3 linked regions of the Arabidopsis thaliana genome follow. The protein of the gene in region 1 interacts with the protein of each later gene in a pairwise test. Each region holds a gene or a part of one and is shown on either strand. Other genes may lie near its edges. The genes, in order: SWI3A, BSH and FCA.

The links.
Region 2: the proteins of SWI3A (region 1) and BSH interact in a two-hybrid assay, tested with the Arabidopsis thaliana proteins (one study listed by BioGRID).
Region 3: the proteins of SWI3A (region 1) and FCA interact in a two-hybrid assay, tested with the Arabidopsis thaliana proteins (one study listed by BioGRID).

The regions. Positions count from the first base shown.
Region 1 is NC_003071.7:19,528,226-19,534,971, reverse strand, and holds SWI3A (SWITCH/sucrose nonfermenting 3A), read right to left. Parts: upstream 3,026-6,746; 5' UTR 2,939-3,025; coding exon 2,881-2,938; intron 2,726-2,880; coding exon 2,205-2,725; intron 2,110-2,204; coding exon 1,663-2,109; intron 1,503-1,662; coding exon 1,363-1,502; coding exon of another isoform or gene 1,305-1,362; exon of another isoform or gene 1,278-1,304; coding exon 1,228-1,277; intron 1,142-1,227; coding exon 996-1,141; intron 898-995; coding exon 721-897; 3' UTR 501-720; downstream 1-500. Other genes in the region: AT2G47630 (alpha/beta-Hydrolases superfamily protein), read right to left, coding at 67-163, 306-335; AT2G47610 (Ribosomal protein L7Ae/L30e/S12e/Gadd45 family protein), read right to left, coding at 3,571-3,702, 3,795-3,887, 3,969-4,267, 4,426-4,627, 4,747-4,791, 5,116-5,118. UniProt on the Arabidopsis thaliana protein: Component of a multiprotein complex equivalent of the SWI/SNF complex, an ATP-dependent chromatin-remodeling complex, which is required for the positive and negative regulation of gene expression of a large number of genes.
Region 2 is NC_003074.8:6,015,900-6,022,811, forward strand, and holds BSH (transcription regulatory protein SNF5, putative (BSH)), read right to left. Parts: upstream 3,768-6,912; 5' UTR 3,693-3,767; coding exon 3,643-3,692; intron 3,548-3,642; coding exon 3,453-3,547; intron 3,344-3,452; coding exon 3,249-3,343; intron 2,909-3,248; coding exon 2,837-2,908; intron 2,725-2,836; coding exon 2,677-2,724; intron 2,595-2,676; coding exon 2,511-2,594; intron 2,408-2,510; coding exon 2,369-2,407; intron 2,244-2,368; coding exon 2,161-2,243; intron 2,059-2,160; coding exon 1,996-2,058; intron 1,514-1,995; coding exon 1,414-1,513; 3' UTR 1,313-1,413; downstream 1-1,312. Other genes in the region: IAA31 (indole-3-acetic acid inducible 31), read right to left, coding at 4,382-4,436, 4,525-4,609, 4,708-4,919, 5,017-5,141. UniProt on the Arabidopsis thaliana protein: Component of a multiprotein complex equivalent of the yeast SWI/SNF complex, an ATP-dependent chromatin-remodeling complex, which is required for the positive and negative regulation of gene expression of a large number of genes.
Region 3 is NC_003075.7:9,210,572-9,217,121, forward strand, and holds the start of FCA (flowering time control protein FCA), read right to left. Parts: upstream 4,255-6,550; 5' UTR 3,842-4,254; coding exon 3,508-3,841; intron 3,253-3,507; coding exon 3,182-3,252; intron 3,095-3,181; coding exon 3,016-3,094; exon of another isoform or gene 941-3,015; coding exon 858-940; intron 778-857; coding exon 726-777; intron 529-725; coding exon 461-528; intron 101-460; coding exon 34-100; intron 1-33. Other genes in the region: SPH1 (S-protein homologue 1), read right to left, coding at 5,109-5,564. UniProt on the Arabidopsis thaliana protein: Plays a major role in the promotion of the transition of the vegetative meristem to reproductive development. Plays a role in the regulation of flowering time in the autonomous flowering pathway by decreasing FLOWERING LOCUS C mRNA levels.

The sequences.
Region 1 (6,746 bases):
TTGTTCAGTTTTATTATGTGTAATGAAGAAAGCGGCTTTTAGAAATAATAAGGAAATAACTGCAACCATGGCAGAGGAAAACCAGAGCTTTGGGAGAAGACGAAGAAGATGGGATCCATCTACATGCGAACAACTCTACACCTCTTGAATTTCTCACGTATTCCTGTCACCAATTCATACACATATTTGTTTATTCAAAGATCTAATCAATCATCTCAACACCTCTTGACATCTTCACTCTCCTGTTAAACTATTACTACTACATCTAAAATCTCTAAGCAGAGAGAGGGAGAGAGAGAGAGAACCTCGTGGTATTGGAATTCCGACGACTTCATGACCGGAGCTAGATCTTGAGAGAGAGACACTGAAGGTGACGAAGGGGTTTTGAGGACGGTCTCACCAATTTATAGAAACAAGAGTGTCACTGTTCTTTTTTTCAATTCACTTTTTTCCAAATTATGGAAAGCTCAGAAAATGTTTTCGGAATTTTATTTATTTGACGTCACACTGGGCGCGTGTGAATTAGTAGAGAGACCCATCCATTGGTCAGACATATCGACAAAAGAGGTATGTAACCTAAACCTACTCTCCTCATTAAGTCAATAAAACACATTAATACTAAATACATATAATCCTCAAAAGTCAACATAACAAATCCATAAGGAATGAGAAAACAACTCTACCCCAAGAGAAAAAAAAAGTACGAATGAAAGAAGAAGATCATTTCACGTACGTATGATCCCAACGTTTGGTAATACCGCTTCTAAACGCGCATTGCAAAACGCTAACCCTCTCTTGGATGATTGTTTCCTTTACACCCTCTATCACTTTCTCTTCTTCATCCATTATCGATTCCAAGTCGTCTAGAAACTTCAACTTGCTCTGCAGTTTCTTCAGCTGAGTACAACAAAGAGAAGCAAAACATGTCCGGTTCAAGACACAAACACAGTGGAACAGACACAAATGTTTTAATGTTGTTACAAGTTACAACCAACCTGTTGTTCTATTACTGTCGCAGCTAACTGTTCCATTTCTCTTTCTTCTTGATCAGCCAGTATTTTCGCTTGTGCAGCCGCAGCTCCTAGAGCTGTTGCCACAGACGCTCTTATCCTTAACGCTACAGGTAGACCCTGAGGCCCGTCTGCAAATATATAACGATTCCAAATCTTAAGCCTTGAGCTTTCATTATAAACCTAGGAATGCAGATTGAATCACAACACAATTTACCTTTCTCTTCTTGCTGTTCCTCCATATCTGTATCTTTCTCTCCATTGGCTCTGTGAGCAAAGTTTTGTATCTTGAGATTAGTGTAGGACATGAGAAGCCAAACCACAAGCAAATTGAGGGCTTAGAGAATCGAACCTATCAACTGTGAAATTGCTGTAGTCATCAGTGTCAAAAATCTCTTTTGGACATGAGGCTTCATCACAAAGAGCTGCAAGTGCAGCTTTTGCAGCAGCAGTTGCGACAGATGGACCAACTTTACTTGCCATGGCAGCGACCTGTTGTGCAATATGTAAACATGTTATCTCTTGAACATTCTTTTCCAGTGGAGTTAAAAAGGGCATTCTTTGCGACGGTTAAAGGTCAGAGAAGAACCCGAATGTTACACTCATATGGAAAATAATGAACACAAGGCATATAGTTTAACCAAACATTCACCTGTTTCATAAGTGAACTATCACCCTCTGATATCAGTGCAACACGTTTCCTTTTTGCTGGAGGCTCATCTTCATTCACGCGATCTTCTTTTTCTTCCCTTGTCTCTGTTTCCTCATGTTCCTGCCCATCAGTTTGCACCTGTTCCGTGTTTTCATCCTCGGTGAGGATAGAGGGATTGAGTCTTCCAGAAGCAGAACCCATCAGAAACTCTCCAAACGGGAGCTCAATGAGTTTAGAAATGCAATCTAGTCTACTCTTGGTAGAAACACTTTGTGAAATGAGTTCCCAATCATCTCCATGTTTCAGCACAGATTCTAGCAAGAGGAGGATCTCTTCCTCTGTCCACACAGCTGCAGCTGAATTCCCAATCAACTTAAAATCATCTGCAGTGTTGTTCTCCCCATAGTTTCCATTCTTGAAACACTTTTCGCATATGTTGACTATACCCTGCCAACATCATATGTCAAAAAAAAAAGAAGCATAAACAAAACAGACTAGAGAGTATGAAATATGCTAATCGAAAAAAAGCAAAAAAAAACTACCTTGTTATGTTGATAGAAAGGAGAATCGCAACGTTCTCCACAATGCGCACAAACCAATACATGATCCGGCTTCTTCAAATCACTGAAAACATCTGAATAAGAGGTAAGCGGTGGTACTTTGATGCCAGTCTCAACTCTTTCCTCAACAAGGGGCGGTGCGGTTATAGGCCTAAGAGAATTAGGGGTTGCAGTAACTCGAATTCCAGCAGGAGTCCCTTGTTCTATTTTAGCATTATCCACGGACAATAGATGGTCATTTTTCTTCAGGGAAGAGCTAAAATTGATCAATCCCCATTTTTCGAGGAAGAGAAAAACTTTCTGGAGCAAATTGACATCGCCAACAAGAAACTTGCGGACACTGGTGAAGGTGAGTCTCCGACAAGTGTCCTCTCTAAACTTATTGATAATGAAATCTCGGTACTCCTTGTAAACTTTGGGGGTTCTAGTGATTGAGCTCTCAGTGAAGAACTCCGCAAACTCGCGTCTTTCAATTTCGTGTATATCATCCCATAAGAACCAACCTTGTAAAGAACAAGACAAATCCCCAAATCAATTGCAAAGAAAACAAACCATAGAAAGCAGAAACCTAAGAGACGGAAACAGTTGAGCGAGTAAAAAGAGTAGAAGAAGAAACCCTAGAGATCTAAAAGCATGGCGAGGGTAAGAGAAGACATACTGGATTGAGCAGGAATGGTGTAGAGCTCGATCTCTGCGCTTGGATCAGTGGCTTCCATGCCCGTTACCGATTCCCTCCAATATCAAAAACCTCTGATGAATCTATTGCCAATCGCCAAATCCAAACCACACGGAGAATAATTAGTTAAGGGTCAAAAGCGAAAACTTGCCCGAAGCTGGGTCAATTATAATAAAACTCAATTTAAAATCTGGGCCCAATCTTTATTTTATCAGCCCACTTTGTTATCTAGTTATCAGCCCACTTGTTGTTAACTTTATTTCGTCAAGCCCACTTATTACTATTAACTTTTTGGTCTTCAGCTACAAATTTTAATGAACTTATATAACTCTAGTTGTTAGGGATATGGTTGCTCCAACATCGAACCATAAAGACCAAAAATTACGCACATCATTATGAGATGAACTGTAAAAGAATTTGAGAATTAAACTTATAACTCTTTCCAGAATGCAATAAGCATTTGGCTAAAATTTCACACTGTCAAGTTTTAAGTGGTTGAGAGACCAAAGAGGATCCAGCAGCTTGAATAACATTGAAACTGTCCCAAGAAATTGCAAAACATCCATAATAAAGGGTTCAACTAAAAAAGAGGTACTTCAAGAACCAGCTAAACAAAAAGCTCTATTAAGTTTTACGAATCCGAGCAAACCACAAACAAAAGAAGCTAGCCTCTTAATTCATCCTTTGGGCAGCCTCCTTTGCAATAACTCTTTCCTTTGCCTTGGTCTTTGCCTGAGACTTAGATCCCATTATGCCTCCTCCCCATTTCTTCCTGTACTCCTCGTACTTGTCATTGAAGTTGGCCTATAGACAAAAACCCAAAAACACAATCATAAGAATCTCCAACAATATGTTTCACACAATCTACCATTCTATTGGTCACAAGAAGTATTTACCTTGATAGCTTCCAGGATTTTGCTGAACTCTAGCTTGTCCTCGTTCTTGACAGTGGTCAAACACAAGCAAGAAGCAGTCTTCTGGTGAACAACCTGAAAGTCAGAGAAAGAAATAAAGATTAACTCTCCATGCTAGTGGCTATAAACTAGAGAGAAATCACCCACAACACATACCGCTCCAAGACGAGATTTGCCCTTGACAATGCAGTACGGGACTTCCATCTTCCTGCACAGAGCAGGCAACCAGACAACCAACTCAATTGGGTCGACATCATGAGCAATAACAACAAGTTGGGCCTTGTTCTGCTCAATGAGGTAGGTCACATGGTTGAGGCCGTATTTGACTACAATGGGCTTCTTAGACTCAGAAGGCTTTCCCTCAGCTTCAGCTTGGGCCTTCTTTACAAGACGCTCCTTCTTGGCAGCTTTGTCTTCTGGCCTGTACTTCAGAAGGACCTTGAAGAGGCTGGTAGCTGCAATTATCAATAACGAATATAAATAAGGCACCGAAGTCTTCTTATAAGGTTACAGCAACACAAGATTTACCAGAACTGGTAAATATTTCAATAATAAATTAACAGCAGCAAGTAGTAAATGTTTGAAGAGTAGATTGAGAATGAAATAGACATACCAAGATTCTTGTCAAGAGTCTTGGTGAATTGGTTAAGAGCTGGAGGGACCTTCAACCTCTGCTTCAGGATCCTCTTTTGCCTTTGAAGACGGATGGATTTGGGCCATTTGATGTAGCGAGAGAGATCCTTCTTAGGAGGTAAAGCTCCACCAATACCGAATTGCTTAGGCCTCCTCTCGAATAGAGGGTTTGAAACTTTCTCCTGGAGAAATCAGAAATCAAAACACAAAACTTCAGCAAGAAAGAAAAAAACAACAACAAAGAACAAATTGAATGTTCGAAAACCTAAAAAAGAAGAAGAGAATTGGAAATGAAACATACCGCGGTCTTCTTCTTAGCAGCTACCTTCACTCCTTTCTTCGGGGCCTAAAACCAAATCGTGGCGTGATTAGATTGATAAAGTAACCACAGAACATTTGTGACATTGCTCTCTACGCAAATTTCTAGATGGATTCATAAGCTATATCAACTACCAAATCTATCAAAAGCTAAATCCAAAGCAGATAAGCAATGATGGTGTTACCACCGAGAGGAAATCGAAACCCATGTGTGTTCATCTTCAAGCGAGAATGCATCCAGGAAACACTAACTCTATCGTGAAGGATCTAATTCGATGATTCTACTATGAAAGCAAACAACTAACAGATCCCAAATGAAACGAAATGAAGATGGAAGGAAGAGAGATGATACCATTGTCGTCGTCCAAAGCTCCAACTCCAAATGGTTTCTGCGAAAGGACGGCTGAGTCGAAGAGTATCGTTTTCTAGGGTTTTGCCTTTTATATATATACCATGTACATTGATAGGGCTTCTCTATTTTCTCTAATTAAAATAATAATTAAAAATTGCCAGCAAACCGTAATTACAAATATACCCTTATTAATCTTTCAATGTGTTACGGTCTTTTTAAACCGGTGGTTAACATGGCGGAAAAAATGAGAAAAAACCGGTTTAACATTTTCCACCAGTGATGAACTTTCTCAAAAGAGTTTATTATATACGAACCTAGCTACTAGCCAAAGTCTTACTTTTCTCAAAACCAAACGTTAATGAAACTACCATTTGATGTATACATATGGGTAGAAAACAAGCCACCGACACCTTTGTCACTCATTGGGTGAGCTCTTCCTAAAGAAGATGGTCTTTTCCAAATTCCAATTCAGCAGCATGTGTAGTAGTAGTTTCGTGGATCTGTATGTATTCTCGACCGCGGTTACAACTAACGATTTATAACTAAGGCGTTTTAGTTTTACGAATAGTATTTCGACCTCGTGTTATCGTTCCCATATGGGAGATTTATATCTTTCTCTATGAGATGTTTGTGAGACTGTATGATTTTGTACATTTGAGTTTTTGGAATTGTTTTCGTCAATTTAACAAAAATAATTGGTGACAACAAAAAAACTATCAGTCTTAGTAATATGTGACGTATTTCTTATCAAATTTAGATTGACCATGTAAAGAGTTTAGCAATTAAATCCAATTACATTGCTTGTGTACTTATTCATGTTGTAATAAATTGTAGATTTACAACTATGACAATCCTATATAACAGAACAAAAACAAATACGTATTTGAACTTTCTAGTTTACACTTTACACGAATTACACGTGATAAATAACAGGTAGATTTATGTCAATGTCATACATAGCCTAAATCAACTAAAAAGTAAACAATATAGTTCAAATGTATATATATACTAGATAAGGTCCGCCTATTTAGGCGGGTGTACCCGAAATTTTCAAATACTCGAACGGATATAAACTTTAAAACCCGAAAAACTCAAACCCAAACCCGAATAGGTATGCAAACATATCTCAAATATAAGTATATATTAGTTATATTTATACTTATATATAGAAAATATTAGAATTTTTTTGGATATTTTAGTTATTTTTGTGTATTTTTAGATATATTCAAGCAAAACTACTCATGTTGTTTTGGGAATTTTTGAAAATTTCAAGTAATTTAATAGATTTGCACACAAAATTTGATATTTCAATATATAAATAACTCGAACCCGAACCCGAACCCAAACCGAACCCGACCCGATAATATTTTTTTGTTTAAAAATACATACAACCAAAATCTTATTTCTACCCAATTTCTTTAAGTAATAATTATATTAATAAAACCTACAGTCTAATTTCTACAGCAATAAAACTTACAGCTACAGTCATCACACCTACAACAAAAATTCTACAGCAGTAAATCTACAGTTACAGACAAACCAATCACCCACGTAATCTCGTAAGTTAATTTTACATCATGCAAATTAATATTAAATGAGTTAAAATTAATAAATGAAAATAATTGAAAAGT
Region 2 (6,912 bases), on another chromosome or scaffold:
ATCAGAAGGAAAAAAAAAAAAAACCATTATTGAGTTCATTACCTATGATGTGTTCCAATGTAACAGTACAATAACTCGAGCCACCGACCATTAATTTTGTTTGGACCAACTAAAATGATTCTAACAAATTGTAAACTACATAATGATAAGTAAATAGAATTATTTCTTTTCTTTTCTCTTAGAAGAACTTAGAAGTTAGTGATAATTTGCACTTTTGGTAACGGTCTAATATTGTCTCAATGTACACAATCTATCGACTGAGTTGACGTTCCTAACTTCGGACAGACATAAAGAGTACAGGCTTTATGCTCATTAGTCATTACTCTTCTCAGTCAATAAAAAACAATTTCGTCTCTCAAGTAGACCCAAATCCTTTTATAGCCACAAAGAGAATAACAAACATTTGTAACTTGCAACCTTGATTAGAGCTGGACAACTACATCTTTTTTTGGTTTGATTTCGGTTAGATTCAGTTTATGTAAACAAATGGATCTTTTTTTAACTTTTGGTCATTTAGAGAAGTATATAAGTTGAAACTCAAAGTATAACATAGTTTTCTTCAATTTCAGTTAGGTTGATTGCTATATTGGTGTCGAATATTAAAACCAGCTTCAAATTTTTAACTTATTCATCAAATTGATTCTATAATAAAGACTCAGCCGATTCAAGACATTAACTTGTTTATCCATGTAACCTTCAAAGGATAGGGCACAAGTACAACTCATAAATGTACACAACCAAAAACTGATCAATAATCTCTACACAAAATTACAAAACTTCCAACAAAAATAAACCCAATAATTTTTATTTTCGCATATTAATTAATTTAGATGACAGCAGCTTGAGCTTAGAGAGGGACCCAATCATTGAATCAAGAAAAAGAGAAAAAAAAAAGGGCAAAGAGAAGAGAATAGAAGAAAAAGTACGACCGTATATCGACAGTGAGGTTAATGGTTGATGATGAGATCTTATTAAAGTCTCAAGTGGGTCACTTGATTCTCACAACGTGTCTTGTCCTTTGAATCTCCTTCATTTTTCTTTCTTTCTTTCATTACTATATTTTTTTTAATCCTCTAACTCTCTCTCTAACATTCTTTAACATGCTCAAAGTTTGGGAAACATCTTAATCAAAGAGTGAAGAAATGGTTTCACTCAACTCTGCAAACCTAACATGTCCCATTGAGGTTATATCATCTAAAGATTCTTCATTCCACACCCACTGGTGTTTCACCTAACCAGGTTTACTAAACCGAAATCTCATACTTAGGCCAGGGCACTCATACACACCGGATGCATCTTAAGGATTATGTGTCTCATAAAAGATTGTCTTAATATCATTAACTCAAGTTAAGCATGATACAACATATTTTGAGTGTTGCCCTAAGAAATATTTATACATGTAAACGAAACTCTTCACCTTGCATGTCTCTCTTCCCTGGCTTCAAGCGCATCAACTTCCTCACTTGTTAGCAGATCCACAACTGGTTCATAAACATCCAAGTCTTTCCTTTTCCTGTCAAGATCATGGACAAAATTTGTTATTTTTGGATTCTGTTATAGCTTTTGCTTGGTCTTGCAAGTCAAATTTGTTCGTGTCCATAAATCTTATTTTTTGAAAAACTCCCATTTAGTGATAAGCAATGCAGGAAGAGAACTTCTTCAATTTCCACAGAGTTTATTTTGTAATCAAACAATTTCCAACCTAGTGATTCGGTTTTCTATGTTCAATAACAACATGTAACATCACCAGAAATTACTATTAGAACAATCTCAGTAGGGACCAGCTCCAAATATTGGGATAATCTACTATCAAATGATATAATGCATGAAGAGGTGGCATTCAAGAGTATGTGTAAGAAAAACGCTCAGGATGTGTCGCAAAGTTAACTTATCTTATAAACGATCTAGCTGCTAGAAGTCAGTCGTCCAACAGATCTTAAGAAGACAATGCAACAGAGAAAATGTATGCATTAAGTGGGTAAGAAAATCACTTACCGAACTACACTGGACTTAAAACTGAATAACTTCATTAAGTCCATTGACAGGCCACTTGCCTTGCTGCACATATAAGATGGAAAGTTATTTTAGAATTTTTTGAGCTAGGCTCTAATATTACCACAAGGTAACTTGGATAGACAAATAGGGGCAACGTGAACATACCTCGCTGAACCATGATCAGATCCTCTGCGGCCTTTCTTGCTTAATCTACTCTCCCTAGCTGAAGCCACACTTTGAATTGCAATCTGGCAAGCAAAAACAACGACATGGTAACTCAGTAAGTTTGGCATTCTTGTTCAAAATAGAAAACATATATAGAGTATACAGAAATACAGAGAGAGTAGCTTAAAGTTACAATCAAAGTTTTAACCTCGTAAAGTTGTTCCCTTATTGCAAAGGCAACAGCAGGCTTCAGAGAGAAGGAGAAACCAAAAATCACTTGTATCAAACGTTTGAAACTTAGGTTCATTAGTTCAGATAATGAAATGTAAAAAATTGAGTGGTTATCTTACTCCAACTTCAGGGTCTTCAACACCTAAATCCTTGCACAAGGTTCTTGCAAATTCCTCAGGATCACTCTCAAAATTGTTTAGGTCCTGCAAAACGGCAATCAAGCTGCACTGAGAAAAAGAGTACAAACAATAGTTGAAATTGTTCAAAATCACCAAGTATTCTCACCCATAAGAACTGATCCTTGATGAGAGTATGGTTAACTCGGAGATCAAGCTGGCACAAAAAAGAAAGAAAGATAGCTTATCAGCTTCTAGAACTTCTTTTTTTCCAACAAATCACTCATGGACAAAAGAGAGAGGGATAAGGATATCTAGCGTCATAAAACCTTAATTGGTATGATTTTTTCACCAGTGTACATGTCTTGTCCTTCATAAGCCCGAAAGTCTGAGAGCTGAGACTGATAAAGCAGGAAGTTGACCAATGTAAGTAGAGATTTCTGAAGAAATTATTCCAATACTTACAAAAACAGAACAGAACATAACTGAAGCAAGAGTACATTCATCACAAAAGCACAGTCTTACAGATATACATCCCAAAGTACAATGCTATAAACAGGCCTCTTCTCGAGTAAAAAAACCTAAAGAGTTAAAAACAATAAGTCGAAAGTGTGATTGGTTTAAGACTAATAGGTGACCTTAAATTTAAGCTCATCTCTATGACAAGCAAAAGAACTAACAACAAAATCAGAGCAGAAGAAAAACTAAAGATAGGTCAGTGTGAACTAGTTTAGAAACAACCTGAATAGATTGGGCAATCTGAGTGACAAATGCATAGGGAAGTTTCAAGTCTTTAACAGTTCTTTTGGCAAAGATAACGACTTCATTATCCGGGTCTGTATCCAAAACCAAAAACAAGAATCAGTGAATCACATACACTGCTACTGTAATAAGATGCGAGAAGATGGAAAACAAAAAAAAAGGTAGGGTTTTTAAGAGAGAAACCTGAAGGGTTCCAAGTGAAAGCATCTTTGTAACGCTGACCTTCGAATTGAATGTCCAATCGAATAGGTACCAAGTTTTCAGCAGTGGGCCTATAGCTCCGATTACAAATCGATTCATCAGAAAAAACAAAAACACATGAACTCGATTTCGATTTCAAAACAAACAAAGTAGAGGAAGCGACGAAACTTACATCCTGAACTTGACGGGACCTTTCCAACCAGTAGACACTAAACCCTTCATCCTTAAACCCCCAAATTTCACAAATTGAGTTTCGAAGAGAGTCAGCGAGAGAGTGTGGGAAATTTCAATTTCTCGATCTTTTTCCGGCGCTAGCTTAATTTATTTCAGAATCACCCTTATATTCTAATGTCTTTACACATTTCACCTCTAATTTGGAATTTTCCCATTTTGGGACGAATTATCTGGATCCGATCCTACGATCAATTGCAGCATTTGGGCTTTAAACGAGCTTGTTAGTCATTTAGTGGGCTTTAAATGGGCTCAACATTAAAATTGTACATTGGTGACAACCAACGAGACGGCTGCCGGCAGATCAAAGAGAATCATTCTCTTCCTGACAACGTTCCTCTATTCCATGTTCGTGCTCCCCATAACAACGTTCGTGTACTTTTTTCCTAGTCATGTAACACATTCGAAGAAACACACGATTACAAACATATAAAAAATCTTTGCATTATTATTATTCAGAACAAAAAAGAGAAGTCTTGGATATTGTGATTTATTTATAAGAAAAAACACACTCAAAGGTGTCATATAAATAAATATATGCATCAATCAATTCTCCAACTTCTTCAAGGCCTTTGTTGCAATATGCAGCAATAGCTCCGTCCCGCCTCAAGTCTCTTCATCAATGCCTAAATCTTACACGTCTCGTAACTGCGCAATCACAGCCTTGACCGATCCAAGTTTTAATACCTCTCCGGTCTCGTGATCTTTAGTCTTCTCACGGTTTCAAGAAACATACTAAACAAAAACATCGATTTCAAAAATTAGAGAATAGCTATAACCGAGGAAATTATACCAATGTAAGATCAAGATATAAGATTCATACTCCCATGGAATATCTCCGACCATCATCCAATCTCCATCCTTGTCTTCATATGTCAAAACATGATGTTTTCGATCTCGATTACCGCCTGTTATAGCCAAGACAATGCATGGATATACTTCAAACTGTTTGAATTTAGTTGAATGTTGTTTTTACGGAATTATGTGTTGTTCATTAATTACTTACAGATGATTGAAGTATCGAACATGTGAGAGAGATTTTCTAATAGACTCTCGTAGCCTGAGAATACGCAAAGGTCGAGTTTTCTTCCAATGGGAACACCTTCCATATAAACCTTAACAAAGAGAGAAGTGTCATCACCACGACGAAGAAGACGACGACCCTTTAGTGTATCTCTTAATCTAGACTTTATCGGTGGCCAATCTTGTCTTGCTTCTCTACAAAAAAATAAAGATTTAAAACACAAATGTGAACAAAAGAAAACAGAGCAAAAACAGAACATAGGAAAAAACAGAGAAGTGATGTGAATAAGACCTTTGTGGAGAAGTAGAAGGAAATGTGAGACTAAGGGAGAGATTAACAGAAGATTCAGAAGGAGAAGGTTTAGTACTGTCGACAGAGGATGAAGAAAATGAAGAACAAGAGTTAGAGACCTCCATTAATGAGACCTTGAAGCTGCAGAGCTAGCTTCATGCTTCCTTCTCTTCTCTATTGAGAGTGCTCTTCATGTCTCTCTCTCTCTATTTCTATTTCTCTCTGTCTAGTTAAACAAAAAAGGACTAGTAGGTGATTCTATTGCATAGATTTTGAATTTAAAAATTGATTTAATCGACTTTGAAATTTAATATAAATAAATAATAGGAACATAAGGTTCCCCACATTTAACTATGAACTTTCAACCTTCTAAATATGAACACACATTGATTTCTGAAAACCACTGTAATAATTACCCGATTAGATACTTAATTCATGGGTTTAGATCTTTGGAGTTAGTTAGTAGTAAAAATGTGAAATTATGGTTTTGAGATTTGTTTACATGTAAGATTCGAAGTTTCCGTAAAAAGGTGGTATCCAAGGAAAGTGTGTCTAAATGATGTTGGAGTTAATCTGTTAAGGCTTTGATTTTAATTTCTCAACTGCTCAGATTCTTTAATTAGGAGAGATAAGGGCCAAAAAAGGCTTTATTGTCTAGCCGTAAACAGAAACAGAGCATCACATCACTTTCACTTTCTTACACATCAATATTTGAAAGAAAAAAACTGAGTCTATAGACTATGAACTTGGGGGATCAATTTTTTAGACCCTTCTGTTGATAAGAAAACTCAATTGTCTCTTATGACACATTAATGTAACAGACCATTGAAAATTGCAGAACCAATAAAAATAAGGTAGACTTGAAGAGTTTTGTGTATATTGTTTTTGTGGAGCAGACAGTGTTCTTTTCTTTAACTATACGTTTCCTGTTAATGTCTCTTTAGCTTTGTGGATTGTCTCTCTTAGAAGCCCAAATCTTTTACTCTTTTTTGAAAATCAAAATAGAATTCGTTGATTTATGATAACTTCAAAATATAAAGTAGACATAAATTGTTACATCACATAATGCTCATTGGCTGTATTGATAATAATATTAGATTCTAGAATCATCATGGGAAGTGCACTCTAATAGTTACTTTGTAATAAAGCCTACCTTGGATGTTGGATCGATAAGACTCCTATTAGCTATTATACGATCTGTCTTTGGACATGCATGTCTGGTCTCTAGGGATCCTTCTTGTTAGAATTTCGATATATATAACTTTATAATGTCTAGTAGTCTAATGATGAATGTTTACTCCTCTTTATACTTATAATAATAATTAAGACTACTATAAGTCTATAATCAATTAAACTTTTATCAAAAAAATATGTCCAAGGAGTTATTACTCGCATACCTCGACTTAAAAGAGTTTTGTCATTAGTTTTCGTTGAAGTAAGTAAGAACCAAAGATAATAATCAAACTCCTGATTTTCTGAAGTTTCTTAAAATGGTATTCAAATTTTGGCCATAACTCTCAATATATTAAGACCGAGCATGCGAACGAGAAAAAATATGATCACCATGGTTTGCAGCTCGATTACTTCTAAGTTCTAACCATGGTAAATTTAAACGTTTTGTTGAAGTAATATAGAGAGGCATGCAATAGTATTGTGCCAAAAAGTTATAGCAAGAGAGATCAATATCATGATATGTACTCCTAAATTAACGTGGCATGTTCATGCATAGACAAAGATGCAATCATATCTCCACGTTTGCATACAGCTTCAAATAATAAAATCATATAGTCATACAAACAAAATGAATGTCCGCTGCTTATGAAAATTAATTATTTGGATAGTACTTCGTATAAAAGTTACATCAAATGATTTTAGTTGATTTTAAGACAAGGGGTC
Region 3 (6,550 bases), on another chromosome or scaffold:
TTTATAGAATCTAGTACAAATTACAAAACATACCACGACTCTGTCTATATTCATCCCGCATGAGATAGACATCTTCCACATGACCAAATTGTAAAAAGATCTGTTAAAGCAATAACAATAAAACAGTTTGTTAAAAGATTACATGAGAAATTGAAACACATAAGTTGAACTGGGAAGGTAGCCGTTCACATTTATTAATTTTATCTATTATGACAGTCAAACAGTTGGATCAATTGGAAGAAGAGATTACACAGTAAGTAGAATGTCCAAGCGCTTGCATTATTGACACAGATTTTCTAGACACTCACCCTTTGGTAAGACTAACAAAATTTATCAAAGAGTCATTTAAAATTATCAACTCAGGTAACAGGGGACACAATAATATCCAAGTTTAGAACTCTTCCCTGTTCCGTTAATCTGACATAAGTAACAACTTCAAAAAGTAAGATACGAAACATACCTCCTCAACTTCTTTTTCAGTGGCTTGCTTGTTTAGTGAACCAACAAAAAGCTTAAACTCTAGGGTGCCTTCAGAAGAAGAGAACTATATCACTTGATAGTAAGGCAAAGAAAACAGGGAAAGAAAAGGATCAACATCCATAAAGTTCATATCATTTCCCACATTTTCTTAATTTTTGTAATCTGAACTTATGCAGCGTATGGTCTTGGCTATGAACACTAGACAATGACAGCCACATTAGATACTCTGTGTGGAAGTTGATTACCTATGCGTTCTCTCTCCCCGTCAGCATATCGAACTTGAACAGGACCAGTTCCCTGGGAATCAACAAAATTATAAAAGGTGAAACAACCTATAGTTTCCTGTTCTTGATAAGAGAAAGCCTCAGGGTAATTACCCCAGGAAGAGTGATCTGATTGTGCAGTGCTCTGATGGCTCTATCCGCATCTTTCGAAGTTGCATATTTTACAAAACAACAGCCTGCATTAAAGACTGATACTTAAGCTATCTGTTTCAGGGTTCAACTTTTCCTTCTACCATCAAATTGTACTAGTAACAAGATGTACTACTCAAAGCACATAAGTTCAGTAGGAAAATCATAAGACATGTCTGACAGCCTCCACTTAAATATTGATGTAAAGTTGTTGGAGAGAATAAATTAATGTCTTCAAATGGAGAATATGGCAAAAACAAATATTAAAAAATTGAACACAGTCAGTATCTGCAGATAACATATCTACAAGAGGGCCTTTCAGACAAAGGGTGGCTGCATTTGTCCAAGCAGGATCCATTTGAAAGAAAATCTAGAAACATGTACAAGTTAATTAGCAACATAAAACATAACTATAGGTCCAAAGTAACGGATTCAGTATGTAAGAATCTCAATAATTGATGAGTAGCGGATAATCAAAACCAAAACATATACACATTTTCGTCACCATACATCAAGCATTTGAAGACTTCAAATAAAGAACTACAGTTATGGGCAAGATAACTCATTGGAAAAAAATCTAATTCAGAAAAGAATACGATTGCTTCATGTAATACATAATTAGGCCCCTGCCTGATGCTGATTGATCAAGGGCAAGAGAGTGAAGTCAACATGCTGTATTAACATCAGAAACTATTCTAAGAAACTAAAACAATCAGGTTCCTTCCATATGTTTGCACCACCTAACATAATAATATTTCACAAGGCTGAAGAAAGAGTTGTATGGAATCTAGTACATTCAACCGCGATCAAAAGTGTTTATGTCACCACAATCAGATGCATTTGTTCTGCCATCCACAAAGGTGTAGCAGTTATAGAAATAATAACTTCTTGGAAAGTCAAGAATTTATAAATAACTATGCACGTACAAACACACCATTCATCGTCTAGTATTTCTTCACACTGACAAAATAGAGACAGAACTAAATGGAGTAGTAGAACAGGAAATTCAATAATAAAATAACAGTTGCACCTTGCAAGCACAAAGGCTTGATTAGCGAAAAGGGAGCATACAAAAAAAATCTATCATCAAACATTTCTTCCACATAAATATCGATCAGCACTGCAAGGGCCACCATACAGACATAAGAGCTACTCAACAAAATATTCATTCATCTATGACGAGAGATGGTATATCACATCACAAGCCATCCAAGGAATAGAGACGTGGGAACATACAAAATACATACATAAGAACTACTAAACAAATCATTCATTCACCTATGACGAGAGATGGTATATCACATCACAAGCCATCCAAGAAATTGAGAGGGACGACCATACAGAAAGCACACATTTCAGGCCATTCAAAGAGAGTGGAAAGAAATATAGCCATCATAGTTCCTCAGGCCATCAACAAAAGAAAAGGAGAAACGCATTCATTCCAGCATCACTCATCCAAAAAGGTAAAAGGAATGCCATCATTAACCAATAGACAGCACACCCATAAATTGATATGAAAGAAAATGAAGACGCCAAACCTCCAACATGATAAAATTAGAAAGACGGCCAAATCTTTGACCAGCAGGAGTGGCAAATCAAGAAACCATCTTTTGAACCTCATGTCCTTATCAAACTACCAACTTAAAAAAATACATTCATCCTGTCAAGACCATACACAACATCTTCAATCCATCTAGAGGAAGAGTAAAGAAAATGAATTTCAATAGGAGAGGAAAATAGCGATGTTCTTATAACCAATTCCCACTATAAAGGCAACAGCAAAATTCAGTTCTCTGTACATTAACTCCAACTCTAAAACACCCTCAATAAATTCTACACTTTTCAAACACATCTAAAGTTCTAGAATACACACAAGTAGCGAAATCTATTTGCCCAACATAAGTACATAAACCCTTTCTTAGCACAGGTAGCCTTCTTCTGTGACAGAATCGAACACAGATAAGACGCTGGCAAGCATAAGCAATAAGCCCGAAAATTGTTGCAAACAATTGGAGGCCAATGATGAGACTGGGGTTGCTTCCCATCAGCCTTTTCAGGGAGACCTGAAATTTTAAAAAGTATAATTCACGACTATTTCCTAATAAAATGGAGATTGACATACCTTGCTGCTGTCCAGTTCTCTTGTCCTTGATCAGAGCAACCTCCAGAACATTTCCATGCTGTTCGAAATAGGGACGGATCTACAATATGAAAACCAACAGAAAAAATTTAGAAAAGGTTCTCAGTAATGAGTATATAGATAACAATGATTTCCAAGATTAACTCACTTCTTCTTCTGTAGCTGTCCTTGGTACAGATCCAACAAAAAGCTTGACTGTACTGCTACGATCAGAGACATCTGCAAATCAAATTAACCAGATAAGGATACACATGAAGATGGCATATAGTTTTGATTATCACATACATGGGAAAATCGAAAGGATCCTCTAGAGTCGATCCCATGAAAAACCTTCAACAATACAGTAACATAACAACCATACTACCTTTCAATACTCTAATCATTGATTCCCACAAAAATAAGAGACACTCAGGAACCTTAACAGACTACAAGAATAAATATACATAGAAGAAAGAAGAGTGAACTCATGCTTACCAGTTCCAGTAAAGCTGCCATGGTCTGAGATAGGATACCCTCTTTTCTGACCGGAAAGAGGCTGCTGGACCGGCGGTGTAGTCGGTCTTACAGAATAATCAGACTCCATTGCTTTACCGATAAATCTCCTCCTGTCTGGACTCTCTGAAGGAGGATACTTCGCGGGATAGTTATACCGAGCTCCAACAATTGACCGTGTCCCTTCTCCTCCCACACCACCGTTAGGACCCATTGGACGAAAACCATCATCGTAGGCAAACCCCATAGGCCGAAAACTTCCACCATGGTGAGGACCCATAGGCTTAAAATCTACTCTATCTGGGGGACCATTCATCTGCCGGAAACCTCCATCTCCGGGACCATCAAAATCCTTAGGAGTGTCATCTTCCCAGCGTCGACCACCATTACCTCCTCCTCCGCCCCCAATTCCAATTCGATAATTGCTAGGGCTGCTTCCACGACGACGACGGTGGCGGCGAAAATCATCATCATCCTCTTCGAAGCGTGAATCTGAGGGACGAGATGGACCTCTGGGATGGGCTCGGTGGTTATGGTAGGAATCCTCGTAGCCGCCACTCTCATGGCGATCCCTTCGGTGTCTGTCCAGCTTGACGTAGTGGGGAATTGCGATTCCAGTCGAAGAAATCAAAGGACTAGGAGCCCTAGAAATTTGGGATCTGTATGAAACCAAAGAGAGAAGAAACGAGTATCGAAGATGATGAATTTGATTGAAGATGAGATCAATTTAGTTGCTCGAAATTTTGATTTTTTTGTCCGAATGTAAAAAAGAAAAAGCGGTCTAGTTACGGTAATAGTGGTTGGACCGGTGATTCAGTTGAAATTTGGACCGGTAGACTTTATTGAGTCTTGGCTGATAACGAAAAATACAGCTACTTGGGCCATCAATATATTTATATACTGCCAAAAGGGGGATACAATTGTTCCAATGAGTTTTCGTTAACAAAAGGAAAAAAATTGACATTTCAGGTAACTCTCACATTCTTAAGTCCAATCCAAAATTCTCATGTCAACTATATGCTTCAGAAACATTTTGATATAGTACATGCATTTCATGGCGTTTATTAAATCATGTGTTGGGTGATCAATAATATAAAGTTCTAAGTAATGCAAAATACTTGCATCACTATATGAATTTAGAGGATATATGACTAGGTCTGAACTACCTTTTACCTAAAATAATCAAATGAATATTTACTGTTCGTCTCCTTCATCATGAGTCACTAGATTCATGAGTCAATAATCAATGGCTTTGTCTTGAGTCAAGTTAATCGTTTAACAGGTTTTTAATGGTTTGAAAGCAAAAAGAAATCTTACCAATATATATAAGTGTAAAATGTAATCTCTATATATCACAAACACAATATTGTTATTTAATCTATGATCTTATTATCTCAGAAAATTAATCTAATAATTAAATGACCTATAAATAAAGAACTAAAACAAAAAATCTATCATTGATGAAAAATACACAAAATAAGAGAGAAAGTTAAAACAAATGTTTTTTATTATTTCAATTTTTTTTTTGCCAAAAACAACAAGATACATGTACTAAAAAATTACCAAAAAGCAAAAATATGGCTTCACCATCCAACTTCCCATTTTCTTGACAATACATCTTCACCGCTCGCTGAATTCCAAAGATAAAGGCCATCAGTTTTTGCAGTCCAAATGCAATTCTTCCAACCGCATCTATGGAACAAGATAACATCATCCCAAAACACGTTTACATTCATATGACCATTATCTTTGTTCATATAGCACCAAAAAAAAGTTGAGTGAAGCATATTTTCTCCGAAGTTCCAAGAAAATCTATTTCTAAACTTCAGATTAATTTCACCTAGATCATCTTCTTTAGATTTACAATGGATGAAAAGAGTTTCACCAGTTGTCAAACCGTTAACAACCGTGACTTGCCACTCAGAAATCTTCGGGACTATAATGTCTCTCGTGGTGGTGCCGCCGACTAAGACATGGTCTTGACATGTTAGGGCCAGAGAAAAGCAAATTGCCAAGAGAAATTGTTTGATGCAATTCATACTTTTTTCAGGCAAGCAAAATCTTTAGGGAGAACTTTTTTGTTACTTCTTTTTATAATGGAAGAGTGAAACGGTAATTGACGTTTAATTAAATTTTGATGTTATTACATTGCATTAATGAAGAGTCATGCTGCAAATCATTTAAGTGATTGCATGTTAATTAGAAATGAAGCTGAAAGGTTAGTACATATAATAATCCAAGTACGTAGATGATTGTGGCATAATATATTAAGATTAAAAAATACTAATTTATATTGTGGTGTAAGCTATTAGTTTTGAATTTATTATGTGAATCAATTTTAAAAGTTATTAGTTTTTAGATTTAGATTATGACCCAAGAATTCGAAGTATATAATCGAAAAATTTAATGTATAAAAATAATAATTCAACATGGTCGATCGGGTATTTATTTCTAGTAAAATAGTATTTCATAAACCTAATTTTAGTTAACTATATAAATTATAACACTAGTAAAGTATTCTGCCTTTTACGTTACTTTATTGGGATTAATAAAAATATATTGGATTCGTTGAAATCCAATAACAAATTGTAATTTTGATCTTTGATTCATAGAAACAAAAAGTTACGAAATTAAAGAAATTTTTAAACAAAAGAGTACTCGACCAGAAAAATATGTTTTTTTTTCTATTTTCTCACTCATATTTTTCAGATAGAGAAAGCAATTTTCAGTACACCGAAATTAAAATCCGACGACTAAAAATAGTTTCTTCTCTCTCTCAAATCCTTCTGAGAGGAGAGGTTTCTTGTCGATGGAGTTTGATTTCGGTTTTGTCTGGAATTTTATATATTTTCGTGTATATACAAACAAAATAACTGCCGACCTTTTATCGGATTTCCGTTATTAGCTTTGTTCGATTTATCAAAATTTTATATACTTTTGTGTATATACGCTCTAGCGAAATTGATCTCTCTTCCATCTGTGTCCGTTGATGTCTCCGTTTTTCTTCTAAATCTTATACGATCTC